Linked DNA regions of Schizosaccharomyces pombe. Changing the gene in region 1 together with any one later gene gives a genetic interaction. Each region holds a gene or a part of one and is shown in the gene's direction. Other genes may lie near its edges. The genes, in order: SPOM_SPCP20C8.02C, sqs1, ace2 and top1.

What was found.
Region 2: mutations in SPOM_SPCP20C8.02C (region 1) and sqs1 together harm fitness less than expected from each alone (positive genetic interaction), as found in Schizosaccharomyces pombe (one large-scale study listed by BioGRID).
Region 3: mutations in SPOM_SPCP20C8.02C (region 1) and ace2 together harm fitness more than expected from each alone (negative genetic interaction), as found in Schizosaccharomyces pombe (one large-scale study listed by BioGRID).
Region 4: mutations in SPOM_SPCP20C8.02C (region 1) and top1 together harm fitness more than expected from each alone (negative genetic interaction), as found in Schizosaccharomyces pombe (one large-scale study listed by BioGRID).

The regions. Positions count from the first base shown.
Region 1 is NC_003421.2:30,048-33,278, reverse strand, and holds SPOM_SPCP20C8.02C (uncharacterized protein), read left to right. Parts: upstream 1-1,758; coding exon 1,759-2,094; 3' UTR 2,095-2,718; downstream 2,719-3,231.
Region 2 is NC_003423.3:1,301,076-1,305,708, reverse strand, and holds sqs1 (G-patch and R3H domain-containing protein), read left to right. Parts: upstream 1-1,573; 5' UTR 1,574-1,680; coding exon 1,681-3,768; 3' UTR 3,769-4,112; downstream 4,113-4,633. Other genes in the region: ldb1 (LIM domain binding protein), read left to right, coding at 1-888.
Region 3 is NC_003424.3:3,238,732-3,242,972, reverse strand, and holds ace2 (DNA-binding transcription factor Ace2), read left to right. Parts: upstream 1-1,819; 5' UTR 1,820-2,005; coding exon 2,006-3,607; 3' UTR 3,608-3,741; downstream 3,742-4,241. Other genes in the region: SPOM_SPAC6G9.01C (uncharacterized protein), read left to right, coding at 641-821, 1,220-1,318, 1,403-1,410. UniProt on the Schizosaccharomyces pombe protein: Regulates the transcription of genes required for cell separation.
Region 4 is NC_003423.3:2,941,182-2,946,214, reverse strand, and holds top1 (DNA topoisomerase I), read left to right. Parts: upstream 1-1,618; 5' UTR 1,619-1,634; coding exon 1,635-1,647; exon of another isoform or gene 1,648-1,700; coding exon 1,701-1,801; exon of another isoform or gene 1,802-1,847; coding exon 1,848-4,178; 3' UTR 4,179-4,481; downstream 4,482-5,033. Other genes in the region: HOPS/CORVET complex subunit, vacuolar sorting protein Vps33, read left to right, coding at 1-228, 280-1,049. UniProt on the Schizosaccharomyces pombe protein: Releases the supercoiling and torsional tension of DNA introduced during the DNA replication and transcription by transiently cleaving and rejoining one strand of the DNA duplex.

The DNA.
Region 1 (3,231 bases):
AGGAATGGTACTGGAACAGCCGAATAATGCATATTTGAACGGACCATATTTTCATATTTTTTTGTTAGCATCATCGACTTGCAAGAACGATCATCAATTTTTTGCATCGTTTGAGCCATATTATTAAATCTTTCTTCAGTTTTTTGATCCAAAAGATCGATTTTTCTATCTAATTGAGATATAGAACCTTTGATGGCAGTTAATTCGTTCTTAAAAGTAGTTGCTTTACCTTTGATGGAAGCAATGTCATTTTTCATGACAGTCATCTCATTGTACATAGCGTCAAACCTAGAATTCATGTCATTCTGCGTTGAGTTATTTTAGAAAATATTCGCTCGAAAATTCCTCCTAGTTTAGTATTTGCCCATTCGTCTATCCAGCGTGGAAACTGTAATTCTCCCAATGGTTCCTCCGGAACTTCCCTTTCTATCGCCAATCTCTTCCAATTTCGCAACTTTTGATCACATTCAGTTTCAAATCTATTTAATGTTCCTTTGCTTGACGAAAATTTTTCAATCGTTTCCTGATTATTCTCACCGAATTCTAGTAAAGCAGAATTTAGAGATCTTTCGAATTTCTTGATAAACGGTTGCAAGTCTTCTGCTGAATCATCTGGTGGAGGTAAGTCGAAACCATTTTCAAAATTCTCGTTTGACGTCGATTTTTAATCAATAATGAGCGTAGTCATTTTTTAGAAAGATATAGTGTGTTGTTCTAGTAAATGTTAACGCTGTTTATTAAAAGTTGGTAGAGTGTTTTAAACGTGTTGTTCAATATGTATCCAGGATCAAGAACACCAGATAAAAATACAATTACAAAGTTACACCAGTTTATGTATAAATATATATATAATTTTCAAAGCCTTTGGAACCCTCATTATCTACAATGAAAACAAAGCATGCAAAGGACCAAAAGAGGTAAACAAAGAAAAGAAAACAAAAATAGGGCCTTTAATAAGTAAGAACAATGAAAATGTCTAGTGGCGCAGATGTTTAGATAAATAGATAACTGCATTATATGTTTGCATTAAATAATTCCAGTTTGGAAATATAAGAAACTTATTCTAACCTGTACTCACCTATGTCAATTTTCTAAAGATAAAGTTAAAATAAAATAAAAATAAGTTTTTAACTTTATCTTCAGTTGTCTGGTGTTTCTTAACCTTCATCCCATGGGTATACAAAAATAAACAAAACATTGAAAGGAATTATATTATCACTCAAAACTGCTTTTTGCTAAGAATTTGACTCATTGTTGAAATTTTTTTCCTTTCGTTTAACAGGAAAAGATCAAAGATTATTGCTTTGAACATATTCCAACTAATTCCAAGTCGGTTAAAAAAGCGCTCCTATGATTTTAACGAAAGGTGCTGAGGCAGTGTTCTTCCTCTACGCAGTTTGGTTTTAGAAAGACGATACAATAAGATGCGCTGGTGTTTACCAATATCAAGTTGCTACATATAGTACCTGTGTATTGCAATATAATAGATCACAAGGAAAACTCACCGCGGTTCTAAGTATGTTAAACAGATACCAAACCGCGTAGCTAACACTGACTCCTCATACATCAAATGCCCCCGGCAACAACCGAGTTAGTCGCATGGGACAATTATCATGTAATATATCATTTCAAACCGTTAATATTGTTCAACTACAAAAATTAATTTAAAGGTAGAACTCAGTATATATACACTTTTTTTCGGTTAGTTTTATAAGCTAAACGGAGAAAGATATAACATTAGAACCTGACAGATCTTATATGTTATTGCTGTTTTGTATTTGTTGTGTATTCATAAAACTTGTCTTAGCTGAGGTGAATTTGACTTTTGTTGACTATGCTAAGCTGCCTCCCAACTATGCAGAATTACTTGCTAATTTAATTGACCAACATGGACTGATGCTATTTGATACAGCTGATGTACGAATTGAAGCTTACAACTACTTATTAAATAGCATTACAGAAACAAACACTGATACCGATGCTTACTTATGTCAACTTCTAACAGGTCAGTATACCACTGATTGTTATATATTTGGTGACAGTGTTTATGAAGGACCTGAAAATATCAATCCTTCAACCAGGTATATCGATTAAGGATTTGGACATTAGCTTTTGCAATGTACAAGGGGCGAATAAGAGACAAACCGTGTCTCTTGCTTCTTGTGGTGTGTTGATAGCACATCTGTACAATGTTCAATACAAATATGTCGATGATAGTCAAGCAAGTTGGTTTGTGACAACAACTACGGAGTTTCATGGAGTTGCATAGTAGGAGGTCAAAGCTTTCTAAGTTTAGGTTGTCTAGTAGAGAGATGTGAAGGACACTGTGCTGGTTCCGAACAGACAATGCAATGGAGCTGCAAAGTTAAAGGAGCTGGAGTCAATTCCAAGTTTACGGACTACTGCAAGAGAAGTCGTCCAACAGGTTGTACTCAGCTATTTAGGCAACGCAAGGTATATAGCGTATTTCCATTTATAGATATTGTCATTGATGATACCTACGAATGAAGTCACCAGCAATTTTATCTCAGGGTAGTAAATGGTGACTTTATTTGAGATCATGTTTAGAGCTTAGTGGTCTATGAAGTTGAACTAGTCCGACTCACAAACCAGATGAGATCGCCCGATTTGAGATGATTAGAATAATCTTAATTTTAAATGAGTGAATAATACACAGGATAAATGGTATAGGCAGGATTAAGAGATGTCAGTACTTGTAAAAACGAAGCGAGTAATTGGATAATAAATATGGGTTAAATAAATGTCAACTTAGACCAATAGTTAGTCAAGAATATACAAAACTCAATCTTTCCAAATTAAATAAATTGTGTTTATGTACGATAAAAGTTCCTTTTGGATATCAATGTGTAACATTACGTAAATGGGCAAATTTGCCATTTTATTTTTTATTCAATTTATTTAAATATAGTTTTCTTTAGAGGCGTTTCTATTCTATCTAGCATTTTCAAGCTAAATGACAATTGTACATATCAAGTATTATGTAGGAGTTTTTACGTATTTGCTTTGTGCAGTTTACCTATTATATTTGCTCATAGTAACTATTTAACAGCAGAGGTATATTTCAATGAAAGTATACTTGCTTGAGAGTTTCTTAAACACATTGTTTCAGGAACGTGAAAAAACTCTTTCGTCTTAAAATAATTGGGGGTATTCTATTAAGCTTTGTTTCTTTCATTAATTTGCAGAGGCTATTTCAATAACCAGTTTATA
Region 2 (4,633 bases), on another chromosome or scaffold:
AAAAAGATGTCGTTCCTTTTGGGAAATACAAAGGAATTTGCCATTCCAAACAATGGGTATTTTGTGGAATCGTCAAGGGCAAGCATTTTATATCAGTATCAAGGCGGTGTACAGGTAATTGTATCGGGGCACTTGCGGGCTCATTTCTTTCGTGCTCCTTTGTTAAAATTAGACTCTTTAGAGTTTTCAGCTGTCGGACATTCCGAGTATCTTTTGCGCGAGTTAATGACAAACGCTTCCCTAGCCCTTTCGCAGTCGCGGCCTCCTCAAAATCAAATACAACACGATGGGGTAAAAAGTGAGGATCCGTCATCCGAAAGTGTAAATATTAACTCATCTTCTTCTCTTTTGCCGGATTCACCCGTCAACGAATATGGATTGGAACCGCACATCATGCGGTTCATGGAAATTACTGAAACAATTTCGGGAATGCGCGATCTCATAGCCTTCACTCTTGCTCAGCGATCGGGTCCGACTAGCGCTTTACATAAATTTGCTACAGCTTTACAACAACAGCATCAAATGCAAAAGTCTACTTCCTCTAATATTCCATATGCAAATCCAGCCCCCTCGGGGTTTAATGGCTCGCCTAGGAATGGTGATGTTGCTAGTCTTGCCTCTAATTATCGTTATGCCAAGCAACCTCCCACTATGCCTGCTAATGCAATTAGTCAAGCTAATCGTCTTTTGGACCAAAATAATATCCCCAATATGGATCCATCAATTCTTCCTCAATCCATGCCGATTGCCTCTGTTCCGCCCTATAGTCTTCAGGGGATTAAACGCCAAGGTACCCATTCCCCAATGGTTGAAGGTGAAAATCCCAACAATAATCCTAACTTCTATTCTTCTGATATGCTGAACGCTCAAAAACGTACCAAGGTATAGCTGTTTTTTTGTATTTAATATTCGGTTCGCTCGCTACTTATACATATATCTGCACTCACTGTTATTTTTCGTTGTCTAAGTTTGAAATTCTTAAGAAAAATTTCTATTACTTTCTTTTTTTTGAGCGTATTACATTATTTATTCCTTTTTCTGAATACACTTTTGTGTATGTGTTCAACTTCAAATTCCTTACCGTTCTCATCATATGCAGAATTTGTCATCTCGTTCCCTATTCGACGCTTCTCTTTTATACTTTTAAAATAAAAAGGAATTTTTTTCATTATAAAGTAATTCTATGTATTTTTACATTGCTCCCTGTTTCAAGAACAAATCGTTTCCCCTGTCGTTGCTCTCGAGGGACGTAAAAGAAACTGCATTAGTATAGCGTTCTATATTCTAACATTCTATTTCTTGCACTATTTACATTATAGTTATTTGGCTGTTTTATATGTTTTATACAAAAATTTATAACTTATAATTACATGATGAGCTACTGTCGGTTAATTCATATTCAACTTTGAGTCGGTCAATGTATGAATCTCCTCAACTTCAGTTTAAATAGACGTGTATACTTGAAATTAATAGTTAAATTGTAAATTGAATATTTAGAAATTTGTATTTAATACCGTGGCAAAATCGTTTAGTGTACTATATGAAGCACTTTCCCCCAAGACTCCATCCTACTACCACCATTTGGTTTACGCACCTCACAATTTAGGATTTCACCATCATTATTTATTAAAACAATTATATATTATTTTTTTTATCATATTTTTTGACTTGTATCCCTCAATGTCAAATTTTGATGATCTACAGATTTTAGATCAGTTACAAACTTCTGCCAGGTTTCGTGGTGATACACGAATCCGAAGATTTAAGGGATCCAATAATTCTAAAAGCCCTTTTGGTTTAAACCCTAGTAGTCGAATTTCACAATGGCCCCGAATTACCTTTATACGTGCTAAGGACAATTACAACCCGGCGGAAGAATTGTGTCAATTAATCGATGAACAAAATGCCCACAATGAAGCTAAGCACCAAAGCAAAGAGATTATGCTTCCCAAGGAAACCAACGTTAAGTCCTGCGAAGATTTATCAAAAACCGGTGAAATAAAGGCGTTGGACATTGTGTTATTTAAAGCAATTACTTCGAAAGGTGATACATTGAAAGTAAAGAAAATTCCGGAATATGCGGAAGCGTTTGATACCACCAAGAATGTAGAAGTTTCAAGTTTTCCTGAGAAAAGCATGAACGAAAATGTTTTGATTCAGCATTCTTTAAATCTTGCACCAAGTGATAAGGAAATTTCATCTACAGAAGAAAGTGAGCAGTTGTGTTACAAAGAACAAGAATCTGAGAAGGAGTTATATTCTAAAGATAATGATGACTCTTTAGACATACTAAATGTTCCAAACTTGGTCAATGATGATATTGCTAACAATAACGCTGCACCTCCACCGCCTTTGGCTCAGGCACAGGAGCAGTTGAGTACCGAAAATGAAGACGAGTTTGATATTGATGACACCACCGATAAAATGACTACGTTTACTATGAACAAGTTTGCCGACCTCTCCGTTTTAGAAGAAGATGATGATGATGAGGACGAAGATGAAGAGCTAGAAGGAGAGAAAGAAGAGGAGGAAGAGGAGAAAGAAAAACCTGAAATATCAAATTACGATGAGACAGAGGGTAAAGTAAATTTTTCACTTGAAGATTCGGAATCTTTAGAATTTGATGAGGGATCAGATGACTATGATTATGCTAAGTTAACGACGGAACTTGTGGGAAATACAGATTCATTAGCCGAAGATGAAGATGATATTTTGGAAGAAGATGAAGATGAAGATGAAGAAGAGCTTTTGGCAATTTTTGATGCTAGTGATGATTCCGAGATTGAGGCATACCTTAGTATTGGAGATACTTTGCAAAATGATTTTACTATTTATGATTATGACAGTGAGGATGAAGAGTACAATAACCCCTCAACTCAAAAAACGGAAAAAGTTTCTCAAAGCAAAAAAGGGGCGAAGGTAAAAGAAGAAAAAGGTTTGAAAAAAGATCGCAAACTTCCTAAAAAAATGCGTAAAGCTCAAAAGAAATTAGAGAGAAAGGCAGGAAAGGCTGTGGCCGCTAGAATGGGAGATGCCTTTTCCAATTCTTTGGACGATGAGAGCATGAACTTGTACGCTGAATTGCAAGAACAATGGCTTAAAGATAAAAGCAAAAAGGCAAGAAGACGAGCGGAAAGGGAGAAACTCCGCTCTGAGGGGCTACTTGGAAAGAAAAGCAAAAAGAAACTTTTGCGCGAAAGCCAGAAGCCGTCTTCTTCCGATTCTGACAATGCTAGTCTTACACGAATTGATAAGATATTTATAAATGATGTTTATCAACGGATGCAACAGTTTAAGCACTCGGCCATTGAAGAAATTTCCCTTCCTCCATGCAGAAAATATGTTCGTCGATTGGTTCATGCGCTTGCCAACGATTTGAACTTGAAGTCGAGAAGTTATGGATCTGGAAACAAGCGGTATACTATGCTTTCCAAAACTCATAAATTTGATGCATCTAGTGTGGATTTGGTTTCACTTACCAGGATTATGGAGCGTTTACAGACCAGGGTTGAGTATCAGTCATTTTCCAAATCTGGTAGGAAATCTCGAATGACTGTTTCCTCTGTGAGGTCGAGTAAAGCCACACGTGTATATGATGGCCAAATTGTTGGAGAAGATGCCCCTGAAATTAGCAAAGAAAATCCAGGTCGTCGGTTGCTCGAAAAGTTAGGATGGTATGCAGGTAAAGGACTTGGTCATCCCGAAAATGAAGGTTCCAAAGATAGTTTACGTGCTATTGTTAAAGTTAGCAGAAGTGGTTTAGGTTAGAAAACCAGGGTGACTGGTCAAACCGAGAAACTAATCAGCTGTGTCTTATTTACTTGAGATAATACTCCAATTTATATATATATATATATAAATATATACTATTCTAGGTTAAGCATCATATTCAAATTAGCGATTTGTACATATTGATGTGAAGTAAAAAATTAACCGTGGGTACTTCGACATGGTGTCTTTCCATTCAAGAGATAAACCGGAAATCCAGAAAGATAACTATCTTTTATTTTAAGATATAAACTTCATTTAAATAGACAGAATAATTATTCTCACTACAGGAGCAATTGAATATGTAAGTTGCTGCTATGGGCATACTGCAGCTAAAGAAGTTCTACAAAACGGTGATATCGCAGTGTACAGAGTTATTATTGCTATTTAAAGAAGATAATCGTAAAATCAGTTAGCGTTTAATATATAACACGTGTAATACAGTATAAGGAGTTATGTAAAGTAACGTTTAGGTCATTTTAACAGGCAATATCGGTCAATAGTGATACCCAACATCGCACTATTCGCAGTTTCAACCAAGTATCAATCGGAGCCTTTTTCATTCGTTAAATAGTATAAGGCAAAAATACCGTTTCGGTAAGGGTCAATAGTGTTCGCCTAGGTTCGACTGACTTCAGCCTTTATGGGGCCCGTCGGAGCTAACTTTTCCACTTAACAACTAATCGAATTCTTAAGTGTTTTTTGACGACAATCTGTCAAACACTGTATCCTTATTAAGGAACTAGTGTATTGTTTAAAGTAAAGGAGTTTTCAAGCCTGGGAAGCTCGAAGAAACGATTCAAACGGAAGCTCTGTGGATAGCCAAGTTCGGTACGGGTTTGTACTTTCGTCCCCGAGTATTTTG
Region 3 (4,241 bases), on another chromosome or scaffold:
ATTCAAATGTTTTGCCTTATTTCTCTAAGGTGGTTTCTAGGCTGAAAAAGAATTGACAGAGGTTTTGAGCTGATTTTCATTGTCAAATAGTATTCACTTTATTTTTATCTTATGCTTAATTACTAAAGTATTTCGTTTATTAAGCAATGAGATTTTGCATTTGTTAATTTGATACAGCAATAATTCGCTTCTTAAATGAAGACAAAAAGTGTTAATTTATGGTATTAGGATAGAGTTGACCTAAATATGCTTTTATAAAGAAAGCTTGGCCAAAGAATTGTCTACATTTTATTGCCGTTTCGAAATACCGATGACAGAGGTGATACAGCTTCTAAACAAAATTAAACAATTTTAAACATAATAAAGAACCAAAGGAAAAAAAAGGAATCGATCAATCTCATGCCTTAATGCTGGTACAAGTTTCTTCTGAAGAATCATTCTTATAAATATTACAAATTCTTTACCGTAATACGAGAGAATACGTTATGCAGATTTAAGCATTTTAGAGAATTCTTATTTTATGAAGCACGGTACCGCAAAAGAATTTCTAGCAAGTTTGCAAGCTACAACAAACTGTCTCTCTACTCAATTATACAATTGCCATTGACTTGGCAAACTCCTCTCTACGAGTATTTAAAAGATGGAAATCGACGACATTTTTGCTTCTAAAAAGGCAAACCCTGCAAATGAAAAGTCAAATGACTCAAAGTCGGAGGCGAAAGCCCCTAAGAAAGGAGCCAAGACAAAATCTACTCCAAGTCGTCCAAAACCTACTAATAACCAAGACGATTTATTTTTAGATCCAAAGGGAGCCTCAGGAAGTAAGACACTTTTTGCCGTTTGATAGTTCATCCTTACATACGTTCTCGCTACTTGGTTAATGATTGCATTCGTTCATGTTTGGCATCCGCGTTGTTTGTCAATTCTTTGACCTCAAATTCATATTTATTGTCTAAAAGATTGAGAAACTTCGAACTGTGCTATATACTTATTTATTTATTATATACTGCTAGAGCTAGATTACGTTTTTCTAGGGAGATACATTTCACAATGATGTTTAGTGTTGGTGGAGACTCCAAATCATTAAGCTCTATTGTGTGGTATTGAACCTTATTCGCTATTCTGTTTACGGGAATGTTTGCCGAACGATGCAATACTTACCTAGCAACGGCACTTTTCTCCTTATCATCAGTAATTGTATTAACGTTTTGTGTTTTAGGAAAGCGTACCGAGGAAGGGTTTCTTGTATATGACGAGGAGGAATTAAACATTGGCCAAGGTGGAGGTACACCGGATTGCCCTTTTGATTGTCAGTGTTGTAAGTAACTTATTCATTGCATTTAAAAACTTTTCCATGGCATTTTTTCTCTTGCTAGCTCTATACTAATACTAATACCTTAAGGTTTTTGATCTCAACGTCGTTGTCGTTTTTTCAGGTTGGTTACCGTTTTTTTTTGGCTTGTCATACTTAATCTATGTTTTCTAATATCATCCATGATCCAGTTGTTGAAGCGTAGACATTTTCATAGCCGTGATTATCCTGTTTATTAGTGGTAGTGTCTTTCAATCAAACCTTTTACTGGTTTAATTCAAAAAATAGTTGATTTGTCCCTTTGGCAACAAAAGGTAAATAAACAATCCCTGGGTCTGTGTTTACACTTGTATTGCGTTGTTGTGATATGGTTCGGTAATCCATGCAATGTAAACAAATAGTGACTTGTTTTGCGGTAAAGTGAAGCATAAAATTCAACAATTGTCGTCATAGCAACGGAGTAGCTATTTGATATAAACAAATAGCCAGCGCACCAAACATTGCTGTAACAAACAAAAAAAAATCGAAGAGTGATTAGTTCAATCATCTACTGGGTTAGACTGGCTTTGAGCCACACTTTCATCTCACTTCAAGTTATCAAGCACTCTTTTCAAGAGTCATTTCTCTCATCGTTCTCTCCTTGATTTCTCTACGCATTGCACTAGATACTCGCTATCCTAAGTAAACAAGACAATGTCGCTTTCATATTTATCATCTTCTTCGCAAAAGTCGTTTGAATCATTTCGACAAGAAGAGAGTCCAGCTTGTAATCATTCGTACCAAAGGGATTATGAAACTTTTGGCGATAGCAAGCATACTTCTTTTTCCTCCTTCGCTCCCTTTGAAAATGAGGTGTCTTTAAATCAAGCTGTTATCCCTTCACCGCCTTCTCATCTTCAGAACTTTCAAGATCAGTTTGACTATAGTTCTGTTCTAAAAACACCGTTTAACCCTTTGTTGGAAGCGAATTCTGCATACTTTTTATCGAACCAAATATCGCTCCCCGACTCTCACTCGTATGCATCCTCCTTTGATGCTTCCTTATCACCCCCTTCCTCGCCTTTAACTTGCGTATCACAAATCCATACCGAGCAAAATTTTAATAACAATGACGCATTTTCCTTGACCAACTCTCAACAGGCCTTTTCCGAAATTGGTTATGATGCATCAAATTGGATTGATGAGCTGGACTCTCAACAACAAGTCCTTTCGTTTCCTGAGTTTGACATACCAGAAATAAAGACGGAAACTTGCTCCAACAAAGATCACCTCGAAAATTTCGACTACCTTTCCTCAAGTATACCTGAAACCTCGGGTCCTGCCTCTTCCGTTCTTCCCAGCTCTTCGCAATTGGAATCATTTAATGAGTTTATGTTCCTCCCATCCTCTCCCCCTGGATTAGATGAGATAAACGGTGCGCCTTCATTTGAAGAATTGAACTTTCAAATATCCCAACCAAGTCCGGCACATCCTGTAGACTTATCGAGTCCAGAGACTGCACCTAATATCTCCCCTGTATCCCCATTTGCCCAACTTGTAAAGCTAGAGCCCACTTCGCCTCAAAAGCCCTCCTTTGCTCTAGATTCTTCGTTTTCCCATTTGGATGTATGCAGGCATACTGACAACCAGAAAGCGTTTGCAAAGTTATCATCACCTGCTGAATACGTTTCTGAATTTGAAAAATTCTCATCCGTTTGCGATCATGGACTTGACATATCGAACGCAAATATCAACAACACTTTGACACAGCAGTTTGCATTAAGTGCACCTTATGAATCTTGCATAGTTACCAAGAAACCTGAACCTTGTATCACTGTCAAGGAAGAAGAACAATTAGCTCCAAAAATTGAATCTGCTGATTTATCAATTACTCCTCAAGTCACCGAGCATGATTCCAAACCTCCGGTCAGAATTTCATACGATCATAGATGCAAAACTCGCAAGCAATCAACTAGGATTTGTAGAATTCCTCCGGAGACAATGGCTAGCTTATATTGCGGCCCTGAAGCAGATGGAAAGTACGTCTGTTTGTACAACGGGTGCAATAAACGTATTGCTCGCAAATATAATGTTGAATCGCATATTCAAACACATCTGAGCGACCGTCCGTATCGCTGTGACTTATGCAAAGCTGGCTTTGTTCGTCACCACGATCTTAAGCGTCATCTGAGGATTCACGAAAATGGCAGGCCATATGTATGTGAATGCTTAAAGAGATTTAACCGACTTGATGCCTTAAATCGGCATAAGCAGAGAAATATATGTGTTGGCGGCGTAGATCGCAGACAGCACTAATGATGACAGCTGTACAACTTGCATCGCATTGCATTATAATGAGTTATGTTTGGTTTTTTTTTGGGATTTTTTAATTTTACTAATATTATTGTTTTTAATTTGCTTTTATATAAATTCAAATTCAAGCATCGTACATGAACTAATGCTGTGACAATTTTGATAATTTATCAACTTGTATCTGTCTTTTGTATATTTATTCATCACCCTAGTATTGTGTATAACTCTGCATCATCTAAAATCTACAGATTAATCTTTGTGAAATGGAAATACAACTATGAAGTTGTTCGTATCGTTGAACGGCTGAAATGGTAAAACTAGTTTCCCCAAACCTGACAAACAACTTGGATACATGAGTAAGAATTAGTGTTTGCTTTCACTCGCACCGATGTTTAGTCAACATATGTTTAAGTTGGTATTTCTAGGGAAAACTTGTATTTAATTACTATAGTATGCGAAGTATTTCATTGGAAAACAGTGGTTGTAGTATGCTGCCAAGCAAGCATTTATTATGATAATAATAATTCAACAAATTAATCACTATGACTTAAACAGAGAAACCAATGATTGTTTTAACTATTATTGCTGGTCATTGGAGGAAATTTTGTCGGCAAGAGAAAAGATAATTCATTTCTAT
Region 4 (5,033 bases), on another chromosome or scaffold:
CAAATACTGGACCGATGAAAAAGTTTTCTTTAAGTTCTTCTTCCAGCCAAATTACCAAGGAAATTAGAGACATAAATTTTAATTGCATAGGCCCTTATTTAAGCAAAATTGCTCGAAAACTATCCAGCGATTTTGAAGGTCGACGTCAAGCCAAAACTGTAAATCAGATTAGAGACTTCGTTTCCAAACTGGGTTCCTTACAATCGGAGCATACATCATTAAATATTCGTAAGTATTTTTTTCTTTTGATTTCCATAAAAAATTTTATTAATTAGATAGACACTGGTCTCGCTGAAACTTTGGTGCAACACACAAAAAATAATTACTTTCAAAAGCTACTACAACTTCAGCATTTGCTAGTTTCTCATGCCGATTCTTTTACTCAATTCAATTTATTAGATGAAATTATCTATGCCGAAGCACCTGTTGAAGAGGTTTTTCGAGTACTTTGCCTTGCAAGTATAACTACCAATGGTTTGAGAAGAAAAGATATAGATCATTACCGTAGGGAAATCACTCAAACATATGGTTATTATCACCTTTTAACATTCCAAGCCTTGATAGATGCAGGACTATTGCGCCTCCGGCAATCCACTAATATTTCACTTCAAAAATCATTGTCTTATTCTACATGGTTAAACACTTATCCTTTGGTTAAGGACGAAGTTGATGAGCAGAATCCTGAAGATATAGCCTATACGTACAGCGGGTACGGTCCTTTGTCAGTCCACATAGCATATGACATTTTAAAAGGCAGAGACAATGAAGAAAAAATTCTTAAGTTGCAAAATATGCCTGGAACTTACGTTGACAAGTGGACATTAGACCAGGAAAAGGTCATGCCTAAAAATTTGAAGACAAACGTACCAGGTAAACGTCGTGTTTTAGTTTTTTTCATCGGTGGTTGCACGTACACAGAGCTGGCTGCATTTCGTTTATTGCAAGAAAAAGAAGATTTATATGAATTCACATTTATGACTACGGGAATGGTAACTGGAAGCTCTCTAATAAGAGCTTTTATTCCAAATATTGAATCTTTGAATGAGTGATGATCACCCAGTTTCATTAATTTGTTCAACAGCTAAAGACGATATTTAATCTCATTTTTTTTCACTAAGAGAATCCCATAATTTTAATTATTGTTTTTTTTATTAACCCACTTTATTAAGTCCTTAGTAGTTTATGAATTTGAAGTGGCATTAAAGCTTTCCCTATATGCTGTTAAGCTATTTGCTATTTACTGCCAAAATATTAGCTTACATATTAAATAATAAACCTCCAATATTTGGCAGCTAATGGCTTATTGTATCAATCAAATCACCTTTTTTTTGTTTTGGATATTCAGTGGCTTTTGGTATTGTTTACAATAAATGTAAAGTTAAAGCTTTCAAAATTATTAGAGATTACTTTTCTCGTACTGTTAATGGGTTTATTTTGAAATATGCACATTTATAGCTTTTTGCTGCAAGCTTCGTAACATTAAATTTTATTTTATTTGAAAATTCCAGTTTCTCATTTAGCTACTAATTTTTACAAACATTAATTGTCAATATTTGGTTGTCATGACAACGAGTGTACGTACTCAATATTAATCCTTCTTTTACTGTATTATAGATGTATGCAAACAATTCACAATGTCTTCGTCTGGTAAGGTTTCACGTAATTTAACAACATTTGCAAAATTTTTAACAACTGAAAAGATTCAGATTCCGTGTCTTTATCCATTAGAAGGAGGCAAAGACGCGGTTCATCTAAACGGATTAGTATGAAGGAGTCGGACGAAGAGAGTGATAGTTCTGAAGTATGTTCACAACATAATAATTAAAGATTGTTGACTAATTGTTTAGAATCATCCTCTTAGTGAATCGTTGAATAAGAAATCCAAATCCGAGAGTGATGAGGATGATATACCGATTAGAAAGAGACGTGCTTCTTCAAAGAAAAATATGTCCAATTCAAGCTCTAAAAAAAGAGCTAAAGTAATGGGAAATGGTGGTTTAAAAAACGGAAAAAAAACGGCGGTTGTAAAAGAGGAAGAGGATTTCAATGAAATTGCAAAGCCCTCACCGAAGCATAAACGTGTTTCTAAAGCGAATGGAAGTAAAAATGGCGCGAAGTCAGCTGTTAAAAAAGAGGAAAGTGACACAGATGATTCAGTTCCATTGAGAGCTGTTTCGACTGTATCTTTAACTCCTTACAAATCAGAACTGCCTTCGGGAGCTTCGACCACGCAAAATCGCTCACCAAACGATGAGGAAGATGAAGATGAGGATTACAAGTGGTGGACTTCAGAAAATATCGATGATACTCAAAAATGGACTACATTGGAGCATAATGGTGTAATTTTTGCTCCACCCTATGAACCTTTACCAAAGAACGTCAAGCTAATTTACGATGGAAACCCCGTAAATCTTCCTCCCGAAGCAGAAGAAGTTGCTGGTTTTTATGCTGCAATGCTTGAAACCGATCATGCCAAAAATCCTGTATTCCAAGATAATTTTTTCCGTGACTTCTTAAAGGTCTGTGATGAATGTAACTTTAATCACAACATTAAAGAGTTTTCTAAATGTGATTTTACCCAAATGTTTCACCATTTTGAGCAAAAGAGGGAAGAGAAGAAGAGTATGCCGAAGGAACAGAAGAAGGCAATAAAGCAGAAAAAAGATGAGGAAGAGGAAAAATATAAATGGTGCATACTTGATGGGAGAAAGGAGAAGGTTGGTAACTTTCGTATTGAACCTCCAGGGTTATTTCGTGGTCGAGGTAGTCATCCTAAAACTGGTTCTTTAAAGCGTCGAGTATATCCTGAACAAATTACCATTAATATTGGTGAAGGTGTACCCGTTCCAGAACCACTCCCTGGGCATCAATGGGCGGAGGTAAAGCATGATAATACAGTGACCTGGTTGGCAACCTGGCATGAAAATATAAATAATAATGTCAAATATGTCTTTTTAGCTGCAGGAAGTTCTCTAAAAGGACAGAGTGACTTAAAAAAATACGAAAAGTCAAGAAAGCTTAAGGATTATATTGATGATATCCGTAAAGGCTACCGGAAAGATTTGAAAAGTGAGTTAACGGTTGAGCGTCAAAGAGGAACTGCCATGTATTTAATTGATGTTTTTGCTTTAAGAGCAGGAAATGAAAAGGGTGAAGACGAGGCGGATACTGTTGGTTGTTGTTCACTGCGATATGAACATGTTACACTGAAGCCACCACGAACAGTCGTTTTCGATTTTCTTGGTAAAGATTCTATTCGTTACTACAACGAGGTTGAAGTTGATCCCCAAGTTTTTAAAAATCTAAAGATCTTTAAACGTCCTCCCAAAAAAGAGGGTGATTTAATTTTCGACCGTCTCAGTACAAACAGTCTTAACAAATATCTGACTAGCCTTATGGATGGACTTTCAGCTAAAGTATTTCGTACCTACAATGCTTCATACACCATGGCCGAGGAACTTAAGAAAATGCCTAAGAACCTCACCCTTGCAGACAAAATACTATTTTATAATAGGGCAAATAGGACTGTTGCAATTTTATGTAATCATCAACGTTCCGTAACCAAAAATCACGATGTTCAAATGGAACGGTTTGCCGAAAGGATTAAGGCATTACAATACCAGCGGATGAGACTGCGAAAAATGATGCTGAATTTAGAGCCCAAGCTTGCTAAAAGCAAGCCCGAATTGCTGGCTAAAGAAGAAGGCATTACCGATTCATGGATCGTAAAACATCACGAGACACTTTACGAACTAGAAAAAGAGAAAATAAAAAAGAAATTCGATCGTGAGAACGAAAAATTAGCTGCTGAGGATCCCAAATCAGTGCTTCCGGAATCTGAATTGGAAGTTCGATTGAAAGCGGCTGATGAGTTGAAGAAAGCGCTGGACGCTGAACTTAAAAGCAAAAAAGTCGATCCAGGTCGTTCTTCGATGGAACAACTTGAGAAAAGATTAAACAAACTCAATGAACGAATTAATGTTATGCGTACTCAGATGATCGATAAAGACGAGAATAAAACTACTGCTTTGGGTACAAGTAAGATTAACTACATAGACCCGAGGCTTACTTATTCGTTCAGCAAGCGAGAAGACGTTCCTATTGAGAAGCTGTTTAGTAAGACGATTCGTGACAAGTTCAATTGGGCTGCTGATACACCTCCGGATTGGAAGTGGTAAGTCCTCTACGATTTAAGAAAAGTATCTTTCATTGAACTTTTTAAAAAAAAATTATTTATTATCATCCTACGGCAGACAAATTGTGAAAGTGCTTCGTAATTTCGTGACTTAATGATGTCTTGAAATGAATGCTAGCGTACAACAACTTAGTGTGCTGAAAGAAGGAATTAATTACTTCTAGTTTAGTGTTTAATAAAAATTCATACAAAAAATGCAAAGCTAAGGAAGTTTTTTCAGCAAAAATATAGACAGAATAAAATTTAGCACAAAACAAATTGAACGTGACATTTCATACTATCCCCATTGCATTTGGCTTTTTTTTTCATAATTACTGTTTACTCTTGAGGTCTTTTTCTTTAATATTGGTGAAATGCCTGTTACGATCATCAAATTCAATATACAAGCAAACTTACTCTTGTAAACAATTTTTTTTTTGTTTTTTTTTTTTTACAAATAGAAAAGGAAAGAAAAGCCAAGCTGCTGCTTTTTTAATCTTTATACCAATTACTCTTCTTTGGTTGTACTAAATAGTTTTTCAAGCACTTCTATACCATCCAAATTACTTTTTTCTCTAGCGTTTACATTTGACTGCCTTTTTCGCATCTTTAAACCCGGTTTCCACTTTTTCGTTCTCTTTGTCAGATTGGCACAAGTTCCGGTATAGCAGAAATATCAGTGGAAGAGATTTTGTCTCACTATTTGCTGGAGCAATCCAATGCAACCACGAGCGGATACAATCGGGTTGGTAAAGATTAAATTACGTAAAACAAAGTATGAACACACTAGCATTTGGATCCTACCTTCTACGAGTACCTACATTTACTCAACCGGATTCCTAAATATTCATTTTTAGCA